Canis lupus familiaris: one gene and its partners. The protein of the gene in region 3 interacts with the protein of the main gene of each other region in a pairwise test. Links are inferred from orthologs where the notes say so. Each region holds a gene or a part of one and is shown on either strand. Other genes may lie near its edges.

Region 1 (4,449 bases), on a different chromosome or scaffold from region 3:
TCAAGCTCCCTGCTCAGTGGGGAGCCTGTTTCTCCCTCTCCCTCTGCCTGCCACTCTCACTGCTTGTGCTCTCTCTGTCAAATAAATTAATAAAATATTGTTTTATTAAAAAAAGATAAAAACAACCAAGTATGTGTGTCGATCTGTGTCCCCAAAATGTGGCCAAATGTCTCCATCTGTGGGTGAGTGTGTAAAGATGTAGGCGTATGAGAGCACCAGTCTGGCTTAGTCAACAAGGCATGTGACTCTTGATCTTGACGTTGTAGATTTGAGCCCCATGCTAGGTGCAGAGAATACTTTAAAAAAAAAAAAATCTTAAAAAAAAAGATGTAAGTCTGTGAAAGGAAAATTTGTGGGGTTTGTGGGTCTGATCTGTAGGGACATGGGGCACCTCCAGGGAGTGGGTGAGGCATCAGTGGCCATGGGAGGACTGGGCTGGGGGGCAAAGAGGGAGTCCCCCTTTGAAGAAAAGCTGGGGTTCCACTTCCCCAGCCAGCCCCTCCAGAAGCCTCCCTGTGTGGGGTGGGGGAGGGGTGTCACATGATGACGTGGGAAACCAGGGTGTTGAGAAAGTTATGAAAAGGGAAGTGTGGGGATCCCTGGGTGGCGCAGTGGTTTAGCGCCTGCCTTTGGCCCAGGGAGCGATCCTGGAGACCCGGGATCGAATCCCACGTCAGGCTCCCGGTGCGTGGAGCCTGCTTCTCCCTCTGCCTGTGTCTCTGCCTCTCTCTCTCTCTGTGTAACTATCATAAATTAAAAAAAAAAAAAAGGGAAGTGTGGTAGCCCGTGGAATCTGGGCTGCCTACCCCAGAGGCCAGCCATACCTACCCCCCCAGCTGTCCCCAACCACCCAGGGAAGGGGTGCACAGGCCGGGCCAGCCTTTGAGACACCTGTGCCCTTGGGCTCCCCCAACACCACCAGGCCCTTTAAGACTCCCCAAACATACCACCCCCAAACCCTGCCGACCCCCTACCCGGAAGCTGAAACTCAGCAGTACAGGAAGAAGATCACATGCACTCACACAGCTGCACTAGCAGAAGAAACCAATCATGAGTCTCTGGGGAGTAACCTCTGACTTCCTAAATGAGTATTCCAAGCTCAGCCAGCCCTACTAGTTCAATGGGATGGGCCCAGAAGATGTTACCCTGCCTGGAGGGGCAAGACTAGTAATGTCTATTGAGCTTCAGGATGCCTGGTTGGCTCAGAAGTTGAGTGTCTGCTTTTGTCTCAGGGTGTGATCCTAGGGTCTGGGGATCGAGTCCCGCATCAGGCTCCCTGCAAGGAGCCTGCTTCTCCCTCTGCCTGTGTTTCTGCCTCTCTCTGTGTCTCATAAATAAATAAATAAATAACATCTTAAAAAAAAAAAAGTTTGTTGAGCCTTTCCCGGGCCAGTTACAATACTCTATCCTATTTTCTTTCTTTTTTGCAACAGCCATCCAAAGTACTAATTACCTTTACTTTGAGGCTCAGAGAAGTTCGGTAACATGCCCTTGTCATATATCCAGTCATGGAGATGACAGGCTTTGAGAGCTACAAAGCATACCAGACTTGGGTTCATGTCACCAGGTGGCACCATGCACAGTGCCCAGGAATGGACCCCTGAACCCCAGGAGAGTAGAGGCCTGGGGTCCAAGCAGAGGAGGGAGACAGAAGCATTTTCTGAGCAGGTGGACAAGGCAGGACAGAAATGAGAAGCACAGGGGTGCTGGATACTGCACTGGGGTGCTAGTCCTAGAATTGCCACCACTGATGGTGAGAGCCTCAAAAGTTGCTGTCTTGGGGCCTCAGTTCCCCCATGAGTCTGTGTGGACACTGCACACTGGGTGTGGCGACGACTTACACCCAGCCAGTCACTTGCATCCTTCTCTCCCTCACCTGGCTCTCTTCGCGGCCCCAGTCCCAGCTCAGAGACCGTTTCCAGGGGACACCGCCTGGCTGGTCCTATACCTTGGCCCCTTTCACCCTCTCCTCTACACTCACAGCTCCAGGCAAGACTCGTCCCGCCTACTTCTTGGGAGTCACACCTCAACCTTCCGTAGGCTGTCCCTTGTCCTGGCTTAGGCCGGAAGAGGTGCCTGTCTGCACAAATCTGGGACCACGGGGCAGTCTTTGGCATCCTAAAGTTAGGGAGTACAGCGTGTGCTTCTAGTGGATACCAATGCACAGACGCGCGCACACACTCACAACCAAGGATGACCTCTCTCCCGCCACCCCCCACTCCCAAGGTAGAGAGGGACAGGAGCCTCTCCAAGCCCCCAGCTCTGCCATCTTCCACTAGGTGGCAGCCCCCAACTCCCAGCGTCAGGAGAGAGATTCCCAAAAGGTGAGCCAACCCAACTGCGAGTGAGCAGGAAAAGTGGCCGGGAGAGGCGGAAGTTGGCTGGTCCCACCCCCCACGAGAGGAAGTACGGGAGCGGCAGACCCAACCCCCGCGTTCGGTCACCACCCCCCCGGCCCTGCTACCCTGGAGGGGGCAGGGCCACCAGCCCACTCGCAGCCCTCTGAGCTCCAGGACCAGGGCGCGCGCCTCTCTCGCTCCCAGTGCCCCGGGGACCACCCAGCACCACCAGCAGCAGCACCAGCAGCACCAGCAGCAGCACCCGGACCGGCCCGGAGCCGGCTCAAGAATGGGGTGGTCCCTGCTCTGGGGAAGGGGCTGCAGCTTCCGGAGCCGCTGGAGAGGGAGAGAGCCCCCTTCTCGTGGGGGTCACTGCAATCACTGCTTACCCCCGGCCCCCCGTAAAACTGCCTCCTGTGCATCGGAAAGCCCCAAAGGAGCTTCTCTGAGCCAGTCTTCTCTTGCCTCCCGGCTGAAACTCCAGACGAGCCTCAAGCCCTCACGTCCGCCCGGCCGAACTGCCGAGGAAGCGAGAGGTCTGCGCGGCCACCCTCCTTACCTGTGACCGGCCCCGCGCTCGCTGCGAAGCCGGGCCGGGCAGCTCGGGACTAGGGCCTGCGGCGCGACGGCCCGCCCACCTCCGTTCCCATTGGCCAGGCGTCCGGGCTGTCGCGCTCCTACTGGCTGCTGCTCGACGGTAGAGGCGGGGCCAGCCTGCAAAGCTCTGCTTTTTTTTCTTACTCAATTCGCGGTCGTCCCTCCCTTCTTCTCGCTTCCCACCCTCCCCCCTCCACTGTTTTATGGGATCATGTGATTGGAGAATCATGTGACGTCCTGGCCGGGCTCGGCCGGGCTGCGGGCGCCTGGCGGAGTCTTCCCGAGGTGGTGTGGCCCCGGAGTGCGTTGGCCGGCGAAGGGAGCTGCCCCTTAGGGGGTGCACTCCAGGGCGTTTACAGGATGTCTGCTTCTGGGTTAGGGACACCTGTGCATCCTGTTTCTTTTGTATTCAACGAACTCAGAATAAATGCTGGGCAGCCAGGCCCCGAAGGGAGGGTTGTGAGGGCAAGGATAGACAGCTCTCAGGCCCTTTCCTCAGGGTGCTCCTGGCCGGGTGTGAGTGGGTAGAGAGATGAGACAGGCTCACGTTCAATCTAATTTAAGGTGCAAGATCGTGTGCCAGGTATTAATGGATGTGTGTAGGGCAGAGGTGGAAGATTGGCTCTTGGCAGGGAGGAAAAGATTTAATTCTACCTTAAGGGCACTTTAAAAATTATTTATTTATTTATCTGAGAGAACGAGCATGAGCGGAGGGAGAGGGAGAAGCAGACTCCCTGCTGAGCAGGGAGCTGGACTGGGGCTTGATCCTAGACCCTAGGATCATGACCTGAGCCAACGGCAGATACTCAACCAAGTGAACCACCCAGGCGCCCCTTTAAGGACACCTTTTGGAGCTGAACCTGGGAGAATGTTAACTGGCAGGTGGACAGGGGTTGGCAAAGCTCCTGAGCAGGGGGTGTTAGGAAGAGCATTAGGAAACCAGATGGGAAGAGCAGCGTTGGGCAGGGATTAAATGCCAAGTACAACGTAGTGGGCTTGAGGAGCTGTTGGGTGCCTGACACGAGGCTTGGGCTGGGGGTGGGAGCATAGTGGAAGTGGCTTCCTCGTTAGAGTCAGCCTTGCCTTCCAGGAATTGAAATAACCGGTGAGGAGAGAAAGGTACTACACAGAACAGATTGGCCAGCAACAAGAGCCAGGCTGCTCCGTGCCAAAAGGCCATTTTGGCTCAGGCCAAAAATGGTTGATAGATGCACCAGGAAAGAGGAGAGGCCCAGAGAAAGCCCAGTGCCAGGCTAGGGGGACAGGCAGTGTTTGGTGGTACAGTGTGGATGGAGAGCACCACAGGCTCAACAAAGAGCTTGGGCAGAGGGGTGGCTGGGGGAGATGACAAACACCCCAATTCAGGGGTGGTGGCATTCTGTGTGTGGGAGTAGCAGGGTTGGGGAATTGTGTGTGGCAGTGGTGCTCAGCCTGGGGCTAGAGAGGGTCTGGAGAGTGTGTGAGGCTCCTGCTGAGAATCAGGACAACCCTGTACGCTAGTGACATTTGTACA
Region 2 (4,783 bases), on a different chromosome or scaffold from region 3:
CTCTGTGTCTCTCATGAATAAATAAATAAAAATCTTAAAAAAACACACACACAAAAAAAACAGGGAGCTCACATTTACTACTACTCGATTCCATTGCCATATCAACCTACACTGGGGATCAGGGAGAGAATCTTTGAGTCTGTTCCGGAGCCTCTGGCATGGAGGGACTAGGAAGGGCAGAACACACTGAAAGATGGGCATGGGTTAAGGCTTCCTCTCACCGGTTCTCTGGATTCCTCGTCTCTCCGTGGCTCTCTCGGACCATGCGCGCCACCTCAGGAAAACCCGCTTCTTCAGCCAGCTGAGCAGCATCCTTGCCACCCAGCTCACAGACACCCACCCAGGCAGCTCCACGGCCCAGGAGATAGCGCACAGCAGCCCCCTGGCCTGCTCGAGCAGCACACATCAGGGGGGTCCACCAGAAGGCATCCCGAGCATTGATATTGCCCCCCGCTCCCCCTGCCTCGTGGGGATCCAAGAGCCTTCTTAGTTCTGCTAGGTCACCCTCCTGGGCTGCCCTCAGTATCCAATGGGTCATCTTGTCCTCTGCCTCAAGGGATCTCCTTTGTCCATGTCCTGCTGAGGCTCCTACAGCAGCTTCCCCCATCATTCTTCTCTTCTTCCTCTTTCTTTTCCTGTCAGGTTCAGGCTGAGATCTCTGGGATGCAGGGATGCTGCTCTCTTCTGCAATCAGGGCCTCATAGAAAGCCCGGGCTGCAGCCCCATTCAGGGTGGGCTCCAGCTCTTCAGGCTGTGACTGCTGCTGCCCATCTTTCCAGAGGTCACTGGGGTTGGTGGCCGGGGTGAAGGTGATGAGGGAGGGCCTGGACATGGCTTTTGGGAGAACTGAGACAATGAGACTAATTAAAGGGCGTATGAGACAAGCAAGCCAATCCCTTGGTGGCTCTGCACTGACCAGAACCACCTCCACAGATCTGCTGGGATGAGGAAAAGTAGCCTTTTCCAAGTCAAAAACCCGTCTTATACTCTAAGTGACCCCACAACCTAGGACCCTACAGGGCCTAAGGACCATAGGTCATGTGGAAAAACAGGGAGCCATACAATAACAGCCCATATCCCTCGTAAAGGTTAACTTAACAAAGATTTAATGAGAATTGCCCAGAGGCCCATCCCTATCCTCACCAATAAGTAAAAACAGCTTCTCTCTCAAACTACTTGATCACCAGGTAAGACGTGCAGTTAAGAAAACAATCAGCCTAGCCCTTTAAATCTTCCTTGATCCTATGTCAGGGTAGGGTCTTTCCAAACAAAAACAGACTTTTAACCTTCTCCGGATGCAAGAAGAAGATTTGGGGGAGAAACTCCAGTCTCTGTGGAGACCCCACAGGGTCTCTGTACCACAAAAATTTTATCTAAGCAAAGGTGCTGCCAGTCCAATAGCCACACGACCCAGACACACATGTGTGACTGAAAAAAAAATCAACCACCACAAAGCAGAACTTGAGGGTGCGGGCGTGTGCGAAGCGCCAGGCTGAGCCTTCGCACGGTGGGACCCTCCAGGATGCCACGTGCCCAGGCAGCGCGAGGACAGAGGCTCTGTCGGTTGGGGTCCTACTTCTACATAACGCCCCACAATGCCCTTCGCCTCCCGGAACGTGGCCCCCCACTCCGAGCGCAGTTTTTGGACCTGCGAAACCACCGAGTTAAGGAGGGCTCTGAGAAGGCGGGAGGAAACCTGTGGAATGCCCCGAAGCCGTGAAGTGAAATAACGTCACGCCACCCCTCACCATTATTCTGAGCAGGGTTCGAAGGTCACACTTAGTGCCCGCAGCAGAAGGCCCCATTCAAGCTCTGAGAGGAGATGGAAAAGTGCAAGGGGACGAGCAGCAGAATGGCTGGCGCCACTTCAGGTTAGCGCACAGGCCGTCCCAATTCTCACACCGCTCACCTCAGCCCAGCCCACTCTTCCCACGTCCCGCAAGCAAGGAGCCCGGCCTCACCTCCCGCCTGAGGAGACTAGACCCCGGGGTGAAGCACCGGCCCGGGTGGGGCCTCCAGTGGCGGGCCTGACTCTGGCGAGAGGCTCCGCAGGCAACAAGGACCCGGTGGGGTAGTCGGGGACGAGGTCAGCACCCTGGGCTGCCGGCAAACACCTGGGGCAGAGCCTCGCTGTGTGAGGGGAGTTGCAGGAATCCAGCCCTCCAGCCCCGTTCCTTCCCCGCCCCCTCCCGGCCCCTCAGTTGCGCGACCCTACGACTCTATTTCCCATACTCCCTGGCCCAGAACGGGGTACTGCGCTTCCGCTTCCGGTGGTATCCCGCTGCTCCCCACCCCCGAGCGTCTTGTTCCTGGGCCTCGCGACGCCAGGGTCGTTCGTGGGTCATCCTGGGATTCGTAGTTCGCCTGTTCTTCGCTTCGCCAGTTTCTCTTTACCTGGGACTCCATTTCCCGGCGTTCACTGCGGCGCCCGACCCTTGGCGCTTGCGCGTTGCCCTCTCCCCACCCTCCCCAATTTCCACACACACCGCCCCCCGCCCCCCCCCCCTCGCTACTTCGCCTGCCGCGGTCGGGTCCGCGGCCTGCGCTGTAGCCGTCGCGGTTCTTTGGAAGCAGCAACTCCCCTCCCCCACCCCGGTCCCGGTCCCGGTCCCCGCCCAGCCGGTGAGTCTGAGGTCGTTGCCGCATCGAGTCTTCCGTCCTTAGGCGCGGCACATGGGGTCTCCGCGCGTTGGTGTGGGGGTGGGGAAGGAAGTGACCCGGTCCGGCACCGGGGGAGGGAGGGTTGGCCTGAGAGGCGGGGTGTGGGGACTCCTGTGAGAGGGACCCAGGGCCACCTCCAGGTCGTGAGGGGAAAGGGTCCTGGCTTTTGCTTGGAAAGGATAAACTTCGGAACCCTTGGGAAAGGTGTCGGGGACATGCGGAGACCTGCGGGGTAGGGATCTCGAGCCGAGAGCCCTGCGAGGGAGGGACTTGACGTAAAGAGGAGAGGGTGCTGGTTTTCGGGATTGTTAGGGGTGTGGGTAGGACGGGTGAGCCTAGACCTGTCGGTTTTTCAGAAGTGGTGGGACTCCAAAGAGCCTCTAGTGAATAAGAGGAATTGGAGGCAGGTGCGCCAGGGTCTAGGATCCTTTAAGAAAAGGGGGCTCCAAATTCTTCCATGGTCGGGGAGCAGAGTGTGGGGAGGAGGGAAGGTACCAGAGACAGGGTGGGGGAGCTTGGCCTTTGTTTACCCTCTTTTTTTTTTTTTTCCCAGCTGACGTGAAGATGAGCAGCTCAGAGGAGGTGTCTTGGATATCCTGGTTCTGTGGGCTCCGTGGCAATGAATTCTTTTGTGAAGTGAGTTCTCAATCTCCCAGCTATGTCCGCACAAAGTTTGGCTGTATGTTTTTCCACATATTTAGCTTCTACTTCTCTTACAGGCTGTCATAGAAACTTTTTCCTGTCAAGGAAGAGTCCCTTCAGTAACTCCCCTCACTAATTTGTGAAGTGGCAAGACTTGCCCATCCCAAGCCTGTTACTGTCCAGCGGTGTAATATTGGAAAAGTCAACTTTATTACTACTACTACTACTACTGTTATTCTTATTATTATTGCTAGGCTTGTACTAGTAGTGCTTAATTTGGGAGCCTATTAGGATTAAAATGCCGTTTATCAAAATGTTTTGTAACAGGCAAAGTTTTGTGCTAATGATATAATGGATTATAACTGCCCACAGGACCCAAGCTGTTTAGTCGCTGCTTTTCTTAGAGTTCTAGCTGCCGGTAAGGAGAGGACAAAACTGGTCTGTAGAGATGGGATCAAGAATAGGAACAGGGATTTTAAAAGGAGTGTCTCGTTAAGGAAGAGATTGTTGTAGCTGCTTATCCTTAGGAAAGAAAAGCCAGAGCTTTTATGGGAAGGCAGTGTATGTGAACTGGGGAGAGAGACTCAAGGATTTCTGCTGAGTTGGTGTGGGGAATTAGGGAAAACAGAAGCAGTTGTGTTGGAAACAAGGCACCAATTAGAGCAATGTGCCCAGATCAAAGCTGAGGATTCTGCTATGGGTTTCTTCTTGACTTCCACATCCTGACAGGTGGATGAAGACTACATCCAGGATAAATTCAATCTCACTGGACTCAATGAGCAGGTGCCTCACTATCGACAAGCTCTAGACATGATCTTGGACCTGGAGCCTGGTGAGGCATCCTCGGGGTTATCTTTGTGTGTGTGTGTGTGTGTGTGTGGTTTTTCTTTTTTCTCCCAAATTCCTGTTGATCTGCTTCTTGAATTTCTAAATTTCCTTTTGGTTCTCTGATTGCTTTTGTCCTAAGTTCTGTACTTTATTTTGCTCTCTCATCTGACTTTTGCCTGGATTTGTGACAGCCTCATTCTACACTCTGATCCTGTAACTTGGCTCTCTCCCTTAATGTTAGTTTCCTCATGGATCTCATTTCCTGCTTACCTGTCTTGCCTTGCACCTTTCAGTCTAGAGTTCCAGCTTCTATGTTGATCTTTTTCATTTATGTGTTGAGAGAGTTGGGAGGGAGAGAAGAGAGTAAAGGCTGAAGAGGTATAGAGAGAAGGCAGAGCTGCCTTGGGTGGGTGGGTGGAAGGGCCAGAGGCCCAGGTTTCTGGGTCAAATGCCCAGGTGATGGGTGGCGCAAAGATGAGTAGCCAGCAGCCCCTGGAGGTGGATGGGGCACCTAAGAAAGCTGTAAGACAAGTGATTGCAATTGGCTGCGGCCATGTTTCAGATGAAGAGCTGGAAGACAACCCCAACCAGAGCGACCTGATTGAGCAGGCAGCCGAGATGCTTTATGGATTGATCCACGCCCGCTATATCC
Region 3 (4,554 bases):
TAAGAACCAGAGAATCTGGGATCCCTGGGTGGCACAGTGGTTTCGTGCCTGTCTTTGGCCCAGGGCGCGATCCTGGAGACCCGGGATCGAATCCCACGTCGGGCTCCCGGTGCATGGAGCCTGCTTCTCCCTCTGCCTGTGTCTCTGCCTCTCTCTCTCTGTGTCTCTATGAATAAATAAATAAAAATCTTAAAAAAAAAAAAAAAAGAACCAGAGAATCTCTGAGTTTACTAGGGCAGAGGAAAGACAAAAGGCAGAGAAGCGAATTTGTCAAACCTAAGTGTATGGTTTTTTTTTTTTATGAAAAATAAGCTTTTCAACAAAATAAAGCTGTTCATTCAAAAAGGGTGGCCTTGTACGACGTGGCATTCCCCCATCGCTGTTTGTTTAAGTGGTATTATCTTGTTAGAAATGTAGTAAACGGTATTATACCCTTCACTGTGCAAATATTTATTAAAAGCTTACTCCGGACAAGATGCATGCAGAACAGGAAGAGGAATCAAAACTAGACTTGCTCTCTGCCAGCCTTCAAAGCAGTGCTTGACACTTTAATATGTATACACATTCCCCTGAGGATCTTGTTAAAATGCAGATTCTGATCCTGTAGGATAGAGCCTCAGATTCTACACTTCTAGCCAGCTCCCAGGTGATGGCAAAGCTGCTGGTCTGTGTCACACACATTGAGTGATAACGGTTTCCGCTAGGGAATCGGAAAAGCACATAATTATAACACAAAGAATGAATTAGTAAATACCATACACGTTCCATTAATCATCAGCAAAAACCTAGATCCGTTCCAACCCGAGGACAATCTCTGTCCTTTTCTGCTCTCACTGTTCCTTCTCTTCTTGTTGGTCTTCCTCAAATGGCATTTCTTTTGGGGTTGCTCGTTGCATTCGCGGTTTCTTAGCTCAGAATAGCTTTCTCCTCCTCTTCAGACCAGTTTCACGCATCTGTCAAGGTTTCTCGCCTAATTACTCCTTCCTCACTGGGGCCCCAGTCGAGGCTGCTCCCCACCGCAGCCAGCTGGAAGGTACCTCAAGCAGTCGCCACTACTTCCTTCTGATTCCAGGAGGAAATTCTGTTTCTAAATCCCTGGAGGAACCCACCTGTCCGGGTTGCCCAGAGAACGTTCTGTTTAACCTGAAGCCCGGTGAGGCGGGCGGCAAGGAGGCAGCGCCGCTTCTCCGGGTACGGAGCGCCTGAGGCCGGGAGGCGGCCCTGCGGTCCCTGGAGCCCGTCTGCTCCGGAAGGCCGGCCCGCGGCTGACCGCGCCAGGGTTTCTGGGTCGGGTGGGCGGAGCCCGCGCCCCGCCCCGCCCCGCCCAGCCCGAGGCCAACGCGGAGCGGGCGCCCCCGCCTGGCGCGAGAGGCTGCCCACCACCGAGGCGGCGGCGGCGGCGGCTAGAGAGGCCGCGAGCTCGGGAGCCGTCGCCGCGCGGCCGTAGGGAACGCGCGCGGGGCGGGCCTGGCGCCCCTGGCCTCGTAGCCATTTTAGGAGGAAACCCGGATCTCCAGCCCGGGGCGCGGCTTCAATTTCAATAACTTTATTGGTGGACGTAACCGCAGAACAGCCATCTCGCGAGTGGCTAGGGGAGGAGGAAGAGCATCGCGGGAGGTGACTGGGGTGGGGGCTCCCCCGGGCAGTGAACGCGGGGATGCGGGGAGTTCCCCGAAGCGGGTTTCCCCAGCGGCGGGCGTCGAGAGGCGGGTGGCGGGTGGCGGGTGGGGGGTGGGGGGCCGCGGGCGCTGCCGGAGGCCGAGGAAGGAGGGGACCCCGGGCACGGCTTCCCTGGGGCGGGGATTCCCTGGCCCGGGTCCCCAGGCGCAGGGGCGGAGCGGGGGGCGTCCCTGACGCGGCCGCCGGGTGTTAAAGCCCCGCGTGGTTCGCCCCGGCAGGTGGCCCCCGACTCGAGCTACAGCCATGGGAAACACCACCAGCGACCGGGTGGCTGGCGAGCGCCACGGCGCCAAGGCTTCTCGCGCCGAGGGCGCCGGCGGCCACGCGCCGGGCAAGGAGCACAAGATCATGGTGGGGAGTACGGACGACCCCAGCGTCTTCAGCCTGCCGGACCCCAAGGTGAGTCTCCCCGCGCGCGCCCCGGCGGCCCAGCCCCCCTCCCCTTCCGGGCTCCTCCTCATCCCACCGACCTACGTTACGGTTTTCTGAATTAAAGGGATGGGGCTGGGGAGGGGGGGGGGGGGGGGGGGACGGAGATGTTGGAGGGTAACTGACGCCTGCGGCGCTGCCTCGAAATACTATAGAGGCGGGGTTTCTGTCGTTCGCCTGACCTGCTGGCCATATTTTTACGATGGGGACTGTAGAGTCGTCCCCCCCCCCCCCCCACAACGCCACACACACACACACACCCATCCCCGGTTTTCCGAACAGGCAGGAGCCCTCTTGGAGAGTAGTGATGAGTTTATGGGTTGTAAACCCTATAGACCCTGGTAGAAAACTTCAAAGACGGTAGGTTGCCTGAGTGGCTGATCATCTGAGACAGTTTCTCAGGTTTACCCTGAGGTAGGCAAACGAATTTCTTTTTTTCTGATAACCTGTAGGTATCAGTATCATTTTTGCTCCTCTAAGAACCCAGCACTTCGGATCCTCTTCCCCTTTGGCAGGATTGTGAGCAGCAGCCACTTGCCTATTTGATACTTTCTCCTCGTCTTGGAGATCAGTACAGGACTTCCTTTGGCTGACTGCTCAGTTGTTCATCTCATCCTTTATATTGCGGTTGGCTGAGGTGCTTCCTTCTTCACACCCAGCTACTGGTCAACTGGGAGAGCAAACGATCCAGGATTTCTCCTCTTCCAGTAGGAATTCGTGATGTTACCATCGCTGAAAACGGACAACCCGCAGCTGCCGGGCAGGCAGACCTTGCTCTCAAATCCAAGGACTTCCAGAAAAGCGGCAACTTGTGCCCACCCGTAGATTAGATGGAGTTGACTGCAATGGGATTACCATCCGAATATTTCTAGTCCCATTTAGAGCTGTCAGCATGAAATAACAATAATCCCTCCAGGCAGTCCGAGTGGGAGGAAGTAGAAAAAATGGAGGGATTGAGGAGATTCAGGTGTGTTTGATGTTTTTTTTTTTTTTATCACTTCAAACCTTTCACCAAATTGGGGTTTTAGGGAGTAAAGAAATGATTTGCCCCATTGGTAGCACATGAAATTTGGATTCTGTTTATTTTCTTGAATCCCAGTTGAAAACATAACTACAGAAAAAGAAGTGAAGGTGGTTAAAAGCACCATCTTGGGGTTTCGTCTCCATTCCTTTCTTCCTTCTCCCACTTTAGAACTTCTTTCTCAGCATTTGGGCCATCTAGCCAGTCATTTTGAATTTCCTTAGAAGCTTTCTCAAGGTGATCCACCTCCTAATTTTACCCTTTTCCTATGTCAATGACTCAGGATTTAAGTACAGTGTATTTGTCAAACTCTGACTGCAATAATTGGTGTGCTGAATAAAAGCCAGGTTGCTCCATCTGAAATGGAGCCTATTTTGGTTCCTTCCTTCCCTAACCCCAGTCTTGCCATTTGTGAGTAAGAAAATTGGTTCAGATAATTCCTAAGGTCTCTTATACATGTAAAATTTTATAGTTCTCAATCTAGTCTCTTTACTTCTTCCTTCATTGTTTTACTTAAATATTTTCAAACTGTAGTTCTCATTGTTTTGCCTCTTTTCATAATGATTTTGCTGACAATTTAACTTGGAGTAAATGGTCTTTCTGCTAGTCAGCTGCACTCAGGCCTGCCACGGAAATGTCATGTCATATGTGGAAGGGCTTTCTTCCAAAGCCGGGCATGTTAATAGTTTGTAGCTTTCAAATTCGAAATTGAAAATACTAAATCATCAAAGTGACTCATAGAAACAGTGGCAGTGGGGTCAACATTGCTTCAAATGCCAGTCCTCTTCAGTGGACTAGGTCAGTGGTTCTCAACCCTGTTTGCACATTAGAATCACCTAAAATTTGTTTAAACACTGTATGGAAAATTAGAGACATTTTCCATGTTTCAAAGTAGTTAGAGTAGTATAGTAAACTCCTATATACCCATCACCCAGTTTAAACAATGATTAAATTTGAACAAATTTATGTCATGCCTATGCCAGTCCACTTCCCCCTACCAAATATTTTGAAACAAATTCCAGACATCCTATCAAATATTATTTTATCTGTAAATATTTTAGGATGTATCTGTAAAGTTGAGGTTTTTTCCTTTGTTTAACATAATCACAGTAATAATATTCTCTGTGAAGCTTTTTAAAAACAGGTTCCTAGGTCCCATATGTAAACCAGAATCTGAGTTATTCTTAGGCATATGTAAAAATTTTTGTAATTCTAATGCAGCCAGTCAGACAAAGGTGCATTCCTTTAGGAATATGGAGATCAAGGTTTTCACTTAAGTCACTTCCTTACATAAGGTGAGAAAGTCCCTTCAATTCTCTGTTTACTTCAGTTTATGCTGTTACTGGTGTCTCATTAGTATAGTTTTGAGGAATATTGAGAGACAATATGGAAAGTAGACTACCTTAGCCATTTTGAAAGTAAAG

What was found. The genes of interacting proteins can lie anywhere in the genome.
Region 1: the proteins of PRKAB2 (region 3) and GRN interact in binary tests that used the Homo sapiens proteins (3 or more experiments, as listed by UniProt). The link is inferred for Canis lupus familiaris from reciprocal best matches to the Homo sapiens genes PRKAB2 and GRN.
Region 2: the proteins of PRKAB2 (region 3) and CSNK2B interact in a two-hybrid assay, tested with the Homo sapiens proteins (2 studies listed by BioGRID and IntAct). The link is inferred for Canis lupus familiaris from reciprocal best matches to the Homo sapiens genes PRKAB2 and CSNK2B.

Annotation. Positions count from the first base shown.
Region 1 is NC_049230.1:18,957,240-18,961,688, forward strand, and holds the start of GRN (progranulin), read right to left. Parts: upstream 3,052-4,449; 5' UTR 2,899-3,051; exon of another isoform or gene 2,729-2,898; intron 1-2,728. UniProt on the Homo sapiens protein: Secreted protein that acts as a key regulator of lysosomal function and as a growth factor involved in inflammation, wound healing and cell proliferation. Regulates protein trafficking to lysosomes, and also the activity of lysosomal enzymes.
Region 2 is NC_049233.1:1,286,386-1,291,168, forward strand, and holds the start of CSNK2B (casein kinase II subunit beta), read left to right. Parts: upstream 1-1,732; 5' UTR 1,733-1,822; coding exon 1,823-1,871; exon of another isoform or gene 1,872-1,950; intron 1,951-1,961; exon of another isoform or gene 1,962-2,369; intron 2,370-2,469; exon of another isoform or gene 2,470-2,622; intron 2,623-2,745; exon of another isoform or gene 2,746-2,893; intron 2,894-3,214; coding exon 3,215-3,297; intron 3,298-4,032; coding exon 4,033-4,135; intron 4,136-4,693; coding exon 4,694-4,783. Other genes in the region: GPANK1 (G patch domain and ankyrin repeat-containing protein 1), read right to left, coding at 222-832. UniProt on the Homo sapiens protein: Regulatory subunit of casein kinase II/CK2.
Region 3 is NC_049238.1:58,294,329-58,298,882, reverse strand, and holds the start of PRKAB2 (5'-AMP-activated protein kinase subunit beta-2), read left to right. Parts: upstream 1-1,450; 5' UTR 1,451-1,617; intron 1,618-1,622; exon of another isoform or gene 1,623-1,706; intron 1,707-1,898; 5' UTR 1,899-1,923; coding exon 1,924-2,079; intron 2,080-4,554. UniProt on the Homo sapiens protein: Non-catalytic subunit of AMP-activated protein kinase (AMPK), an energy sensor protein kinase that plays a key role in regulating cellular energy metabolism.